Linked DNA regions of Danio rerio. The protein of the gene in region 1 interacts with the protein of each later gene in a pairwise test. Links are inferred from orthologs where the notes say so. Each region holds a gene or a part of one and is shown in the gene's direction. Other genes may lie near its edges. The genes, in order: epn2 and wbp2.

What was found.
Region 2: the proteins of epn2 (region 1) and wbp2 interact in binary tests that used the Homo sapiens proteins (3 or more experiments, as listed by UniProt). The link is inferred for Danio rerio from reciprocal best matches to the Homo sapiens genes EPN2 and WBP2.

Annotation. Positions count from the first base shown.
Region 1 is NC_133178.1:38,608,462-38,612,294, forward strand, and holds part of epn2 (epsin-2), read left to right. Parts: intron 1-903; 5' UTR 904-1,097; coding exon 1,098-1,692; intron 1,693-3,833. UniProt on the Homo sapiens protein: Plays a role in the formation of clathrin-coated invaginations and endocytosis.
Region 2 is NC_133187.1:47,454,565-47,459,029, forward strand, and holds the start of wbp2 (WW domain-binding protein 2), read left to right. Parts: upstream 1-1,565; 5' UTR 1,566-1,638; coding exon 1,639-1,697; intron 1,698-4,465. UniProt on the Homo sapiens protein: Acts as a transcriptional coactivator of estrogen and progesterone receptors (ESR1 and PGR) upon hormone activation. In presence of estrogen, binds to ESR1-responsive promoters. Synergizes with YAP1 to enhance PGR activity.

The DNA of each region.
Region 1 (3,833 bases):
TACCCTGAATCCTCACACAGACCCGGGCCTGTGTGCTGGCTTCCTGGGCCCCCGTCACAGTGAGGGCCACTGGAGCTTTGTTCCGGTAGTGATACAGTTGCCCCTCTCTTCCTCTGATGTGCTGGGCCTGAATTGGTCATTAAAGCAGCAGATGTTTCATTAGGCCGTGGCTGTATTCATGTGTATGCGGGCTTGGGGAGAGCGGCAGTGGGGGTTGCTCGTAAGGCAGCGCTCTATTGGCTCCTCCACAGGAGAGCAGGAGTCACATTTCAGTAGCTTTTAATGAATTTATGGGATGGGTTGAGATGTTTTGTTGGCGAATGAAGTATCCCGGAGTGCTCATGACAGGAATCTACTATTTAGTATGATTTTTAGACTAATCTGCTGGCGCAAATGAAGCGATAAAGTGTTTGGGTTCTGATTTTTACATGTGCTACTGTAATCTAGAGCACAGTATGGCGCAATTACGTTTGGGAAATAAGATGTCTTCCCACATGAGTGTTGTGTTACCGTAAAGATGAGTAATAGGAAGCACTTTTCACAATACTCCGCCTTTCAGTGTGTATGCAGTTATCTTTTACTCCACACGTTTCGGGGTGGTAAACTGCTTAGGCTTAGTTTAAAGAGTGAACAGCTGTAATCCATTTCTCTTTATCTGTGGTATTAAGAGGAGGAGCTGCAAGTGCAGTTTGGAAGTGGACCATTAAACTTCTGTTCTGTATGATCGAGTGATAACTTTCTTTTTGTTGCATATGAATGGAAAGGAAACCATCAGGATAATTGTGTTTACTGATTCATGTGCTCTAGATTTTATTGTGTGGCCTAATTGTTTTTGGCAACTATTACTAGCTGCTCATTTGAATCTTTTCTGTTTCTGTCTGACATTTTGGTTTTGTGTTTCAGGTAATGGAGGAATTCATCGAGCTGGCTTCCTTCACTCTGTGGAAATGGTTTTAACAGACACCGAGTAACACAGAGAAACCGTTTCAAACGGAGAACGTGTGCTCGAGCTATTTCACAACAGGCCTTTTTTTGTTTTTAAGCAAAACTGAGTTTATTATTTTTGATTCTCAAGGATTTTAACACTACTCGCCACCATGCCAAGCTCAACAATTCGGAGACAAATGAAAAATGTTGTAAATAACTATTCAGAGCCAGAGAAGAAGGTCAGGGAAGCAACTTCCAATGACCCATGGGGGCCCTCCAGTTCTCTGATGTCAGAGATCGCTGACCTCACTTACAATGTGGTGGCCTTTTCGGAGATAATGAGCATGATTTGGAAAAGGTTGAATGACCACGGAAAGAACTGGCGACATGTGTACAAGGCCCTGACGTTGCTGGACTACCTGATCAAAACGGGCTCAGAGCGAGTGGCCCTGCAGTGCAAAGAGAACATCTTTGCCATACAGACTCTCAAAGATTTCCAGTATATCGATCGGGATGGAAAAGACCAGGGCATCAACGTCAGAGAAAAGTCCAAGCAGCTTGTTGTGCTGCTGAAAGATGACGACCGTCTGAAAGGGGAGCGATCTCAGGCCCTGAAGACTAAGGAGCGCATGGCACAGGTCGCCACCAGTGTAGGCAGCAACAATCAGATCGGCTTTGGCCGTGGCTCCAGCCAACCCAACCTCTCCACCAGTTACTCGGAGGAGTACGGCAAGTCTGAGGGGTCACCTGCATCATATCATGGATGTAAGTAGATGTTTCTTTAGCTTGTCAACTTGCCAAACGGAATTGTTTTCATGTTGCCATATTGCAGTCTAAACTGCTATAGCAGGGATGGGCAAACTCGATCCTGGAGGGCCGGTGCCTTGCATAGTTTTGCACGAACACTAATCAAACACACCTGCCTATAGCTTTCTAGTGATCTTATCACGGTATGTGATAAGTACCTGGATGACTTGCTACTTCCGGCGAGATTCTGAAGTGTGCATTGGATGCACGCTACACTATCCTATCATGTACTGCTAGAAAATTTATGATTGAATGTGAAGCGACGCAACTGACGTGGGTAGGTCACGTGACCATGACGAAATGGCGGATGTAGTACATCCAAGTTTCCGTTTATTCTGCTTACATTCATACTGTATAGAATAGTGGTCACCAAACTTGTTCCTGGAGGGCCGGTGTCCTGCAGATTTTAGCTCTAACCCTAATCAAACACACGTGAACAAGCTAATCAAGGTCTTTGTAGGTATACTTGAAACATCCAGGCAGGTGTGTTGAGGCAAGTTGGAGCTAAACCCTGCAGGGACACCGGCCCTCCAGGGCCGAGATTGGTGACCCCTGGTATAGAAAGTACTTTTCTAATGTCAGAGTAGTATGTTTAAATTCAAATGCAGTACCTACTGAGTAGTAGGTGATTTTAAATGCAACCACAGATTAGTGTGTTCAGGTTTGTTTGATAAGTGTTGGATCAAAACACTGCAGGACACTGGCCCTTGAAGATTGAGTTTGCCCATCCCTGTGCTAAAGCATAGCACATAGCCTTCTGCAGTCACTCGCAAAGAACAGTTTTGCAGAGATACCATCAAATTTATTTCAAGTCAGTTTGATTAAGTTGATGGTTATAATATAGTTTATTTTTATGGGAGGAAAATTTTGAAAAACTTGTATAAAGAACTTTATAATGCTATAGAGAACTTTCTGTGGCATGGAAGGTTTTGTGAATGTAATGGTTGTTCGTGGATTTAAAATCATTTTTTAAATATTTTTAAATCAGTAAACTAGGCATGAGACCATAACCGGGAAAAGTCAAGGTTTTAAAACTGCAACATTTTCTGCTATACCATTCCTAAGGTATATTTAAGGTTTTTTTATTACGTGTTTTTTATTAGGACTACAGTATGTCCAGCAGAAAAGATCTCCAAACACACCTTTACCGGTTGAAATAGATCTGTGTTTTTAAAGCTAATGAAGACAGCAGAAGTCAAGGATTCATTTGAATCATTTACTCTGACTTGTTTACTGCACCAAAATATTTTAAAAGTTTCTCTAAATAAAATTAATTTTGTTTAAAGAGGAAGAAGTTTTAGTTTTTCACCCAGACATTAAAAAAGTTTATATTTTAGAGCAGAAATCACAATACCGTGAAACCATGATATTTTTATCCAAGGTTATCATACTGTCAGAATCTTATATTTGCTGTTTTTTTAAGACATTGTAAACAGAATGCCAGAGTCCCACCAAGACCTGGGGTGTGTTTGGTTCTGTTAAACCTAATTTCTCAAAGGAATTGCTCTGTTAACACGGTTTGTATGAATGAATGTGAATGCTGCAATCCAATCTACAGTTTAGCAGTCTCATCCCACTTCCAAACAGGTTCAACAGAGATCAACATTTGCCATTGAATTAACCAAAATCAGGGTGATGCCATTAACCAAAATGCATAAGCCTACCAGTTTTATTCTGTGTATGTAGGTTTTTAAATCTGCTGTGACTGTGATACTAAAGGTTTTATCTTTGGTTCCTTAAATGCCACAGGCTGCATTATTCTTTAAGACCAAATTATGCCCCTCACCAACAGTAAAAGGTTGGTAGCTTGCCGTTCTTTGCCCTTTATGTTTGAAATGTTGCTGTTAACGGCAACGACAAAAACTTTGTTCAAGCGATCGTAAAAGTCAACTTTGTTGAATTAATTTTGATAAACTCTACACACCTGGAGCTCTGACTGCATGGGGCAAATTCTTTACCCTGCAGACCAGGAAACGGCTGGTGTGCTGTTACCCTGCAGGAGACACATCCTCAGTTGTGCCTCCCTGCAGCAGTGAGTGGCTGTGCTGGACAGCTGTGTGTGCTGTCCACATCCAACCCCTTTCTCTGAGCTCAATACA
Region 2 (4,465 bases), on another chromosome or scaffold:
CGATATTGGATTAATTTAGAGCTATCAGCATTTCTGCAATTTTGTGGAAAAGGCTGATATGTATGGCTAAGAAGTATATGGAGGCACTGAATTGCACTTCATTTGAATTATATTTTTTATTTATAATTAATACATACAACAAAATAAAATATATAAATGTGTACAACTGATAAACTGTAATAAGTAGTATACTTTTTACCACATATTTTGGCAACAATGTTTTTTAGTTTAGGCCACAATTCACAGTATTAACAAACAATTAATCTAACACTACTAGCTTAATAAAATAATTAGCTGTTTTGTTAATAGTTAGTAAGGTACAATTTGGGTTTATGTTAGGTTAGGGATGCCCCCCTAACCTTAATAAAATATTACGTTTACATTTTATCTTCATAATAAACACAATATGAAAAATTTACCAAAACCACATTAGATTAGATAAGCAGTTAATTCATTCATTCATTCATGTTGTAATGTTAGTAAAATCAAAGTCGTTTCTATTATTAAGTCATCTTTTCATTAATGTAGATTTATTTCAATCATGGATATAAATGTTTGTTTTAAAGAATTTATTTCTATATTTATTTATTAATTTATTGCTTTAAACCAAATGCTTTAAACCAATTTATAATATTTCAAACGAACATGTTATTAACACAACATTTACTTTTTATCTTCATAATAAACACAATATAGGAACATTTAAATCCCATTAGATTAAATAAGTAGTTCATTCATTTATTCATATTGGAAAAAAATAAATATAAATATTATAATATAGGGAAATTTAACTAAATCCTATCAGATTAGAAGTTCATTGATTATTTGATTCAATCATATTCTAAAAGCAAGTAAAATCAGTCATTTCTATAGTTATTAAGTCACCTTTTCATTATTGCAGATTTATTTTAATCATGAATATAAATGTTTGTTTTAATGAATTAATTTCTATATTTATTTATTAATTTATTCGTTCATTAATTCACCGTCAAAGTAAATTTAAACTGTTACAAATGCTTTAAACCAATTTATAATATTTTAAACGAACATGTTATTACACATCGTTTACATTTTATCTTTGTAATAAACACACTATAGGAAAATTTAGCTAAATCCTGTTAGATTAGATAAGCAACTCATTCATTCGTTCGTTCATGTTGTAATGCTAGTAAAATCAAAACCATTTCTATAGTTATTAAGTCATATTTTCATTAATTTTGATTTATATTATTTCTGAATGTTTATATTTATTATTTTTTAATTAATTCAATTGTTCATTAATTCACTGTCAAGGTCAATTTAAACTGTTACTAATGCTTAAAAACTATTTTATTTAGAATATTATTTTAAATGGACATGTTATTTACTTGTTGTTTACAGATTTTTCCGTTTACATTTTATATTCATAATGAAACCAATATAGGGAAATTGATCTAAATCCCATTAGAATGGATAAGCAGCAATCTGTTTATTATGGGTTATTTGAGAAGGTTCGGGAAATGTCTAAACCGGTCTAAACCCTGCTAGATGACGTCACTCGGAGGGGCGTGACATATGGCGGAAGTGCAGGTGGCTCATTGAGTTGCGCTCGGAGAATGTAGAGGGTCAGTTTGACAGCATAACAGACAGAAATCAAACATGGCTCTCAATAAAAATCACGATGAATCTGGACGTGTCATCATCAACAACTTCGAGGGGTAATGTAGCGGAATCGCACTCACTATTATCTACATCGCGTTATTGCGCTGCATTTTAAAACAGATAGGCTTTTTATGATTTCACAGATTTGTAAAGCAACGACCACATTCAGTTAATCTCTGTATTTACTGTTTATCATGGTATGAACAGTGATAGTCATGTGTTTTGGATCACGTCGGGTGAACCGTTAGATCACACCCATTTATTAGTTTGCTGTGTAGCCTGACTGTCTGACGTTTATGTGTTTATTTTATGCATTATTAAGTTTGTATACTATAAATGCAACCGATAACCAGTTAGATGAGTTGATATTGTTTAAAACAGATCCTGCGCAGCTTTCGAGAACGTTACTATGGCGAAGCCTGAGCTCATGAATATTAATTCAGTCACGCTCGAGTTGCTTGGAAACCTTCCTGCAGCGTTCAGTCACGTAAATTATCTATCTATCTATCTATCTATCTATCTATCTATCTATCTATCTATCTATCTATCTATCTATCTATCTATCTATATCTATCTATCTATCTATCTATCTATCTATCTATCTATCTATCTATCTATCTATCTATCTAATCTCCGTCTGTCTGTCTGTCTGTCTGTCTGTCTATCTATCTATCTGTCTGTCTGTCTGTCTGTCTGTCTGTCTGTCTGTCTATTTATCTATCTCTGTATCTATCTGTCTATATCTCTATCCGTCTGTCTGTCTATCTATCTATCTATCTATCTATCTATCTATCTATCTATCTATCTATCTATCTATCTATCTATCTATCTATCTATCTATCTATCTATCTATCTATCCATCTATCTATCTATCTATCTATGTGTGTATCTATCTGTCTATTTTCTATCTATCTATCTATCTATCTATCTATCTATCTATCTATCTATCTATCTATCTATCTATCTATCTATCTATCTATCTATGTGTGTATCTATCTGTCTATTTTCTATCTATCTATCTATCTATCTATCTATCTATCTATCTATCTATCTATCTATCTATCTATCTATCTGTCTATCTGTCTATCTGTCTATATCTCTATCCATCTATCTATCTATCTATCCATCCATCCATCCATCCATCCATCCATGACACACATCTGTCCCTATGCAACCCTGCTCTGACATGTTGCTAATTAGATTGGCCTATCGACAACAGCCACGTTACGTAATTAATATTAATGAGCTCAGCCCTCGCTTTAGTGGGATTCGCATTTGTGCTGTTCAGCCACAGTAGGTCAAGCAATAATCTTCTTAACATTCTTCTTAAAGAAATGACATGTTCTTAAGGAGAATACACTGTTTCACAAGAGCTTGTGTCATATTACACAACTGATTAAGAGATTGTTGACACCGGGAATGACATTATGTCTCTTAATAACACTATATACCCATACATATGAATATGCTTAACATTAATTGTAACAACAAGTAGTAACAGAATTGAATGTTTCCTATAAAAACAAATTGAAGCATTTTACATTATTTTATTTTATAATGATGGATTCAATTATGGATAAATGACACATTTGTTGCATATTATTCCAGTTTAGGAAAAATTCCTTAGTTTACCCGCAATACTTAACTGAGTTGTCTTTCTAACTTTAATACTAACTCAGCCATGTGATAAAAATCATAGCATTTCTGTACAAATGGTTAAGGTTTCATGTTGTTATTTGTTTGTTTGTTTGTTTATTTATTTATCATAATGTGAGTTGATTTAAGTATCTATACAGTGTATATTATTTTATCCAACATGTTTCTAAATCATTTTGTAATGCAAAGTGTTAGAATCATCATTCTAAGCTCTTTGCTCTAACATACAAATGTGTATGTGAATTTAAAAGACAACAAAGAGGACTGTGAAGCAAAAGCTAAACTCTTATCTCTCTCAAGACTACTGCCGACTGCCAGGGACCTGTAACAGTACAGTACAGTTGAAGTCAGAATTATTAGCCCCCCTGTTTATCTGTTTATCTGCCCCCCCCCCCATTTCTGTTTAACGGAGAGAAGATTTTTCTCAACACATTTCTAAATATAATAGTTTTAATAACTCATCTCTAATAACTGATTTATTTTATCTCTGCCATGATGACAGTAAATAGTATTTGACTAGATATTCTAGACACTTCTATACAGCTTAAAGTGATATTTAAAGGCTTAACTAGGTTAATTAGGTGAACTAGGCAGGTTAGGGTAATTAGGCAAGTTATTGTATAATGATGGTTTGTTCTGTAGATTATCGAAATAGAAATTAGCTTAAAGGGGCTAATAATTTTGTCCCTAAAATGATAAAAAAAATTAAAAACTGCTTTTATTCTAGCCGAAATAAAACAAATAAGACTTTCTCCAGAAGAAAAAATATTATCAGACATACTGTGAAAATTTCCTTGCTCTGTTAAACATAATTTGGGAAATATTGGAAAAAGAAAAAGAAATTCAAAGGGGGGCTAATAATTCTGACTTCAACTATATATATAAATTTATATGCATAATAATTCACAATAAATAATAACAATTTTGTATTATTTTAATTTCCATTACAGTTTATAATTAACATTTTAATTACCCTTATTTTACATAGCTTTCAATTATTAATTGATATTCATTTTATTATTAATTACATTATATATTACATTAAAATGATAATAATTTATTTAAATTTATTTATTTGTTTTATTTGGCAGGGTCAGTGTACATTAATTAGCATTGCTGCAAATGTTCCAGATTTAGCCAGAAGGTTTTTTTTCATCCATTGTCCCTG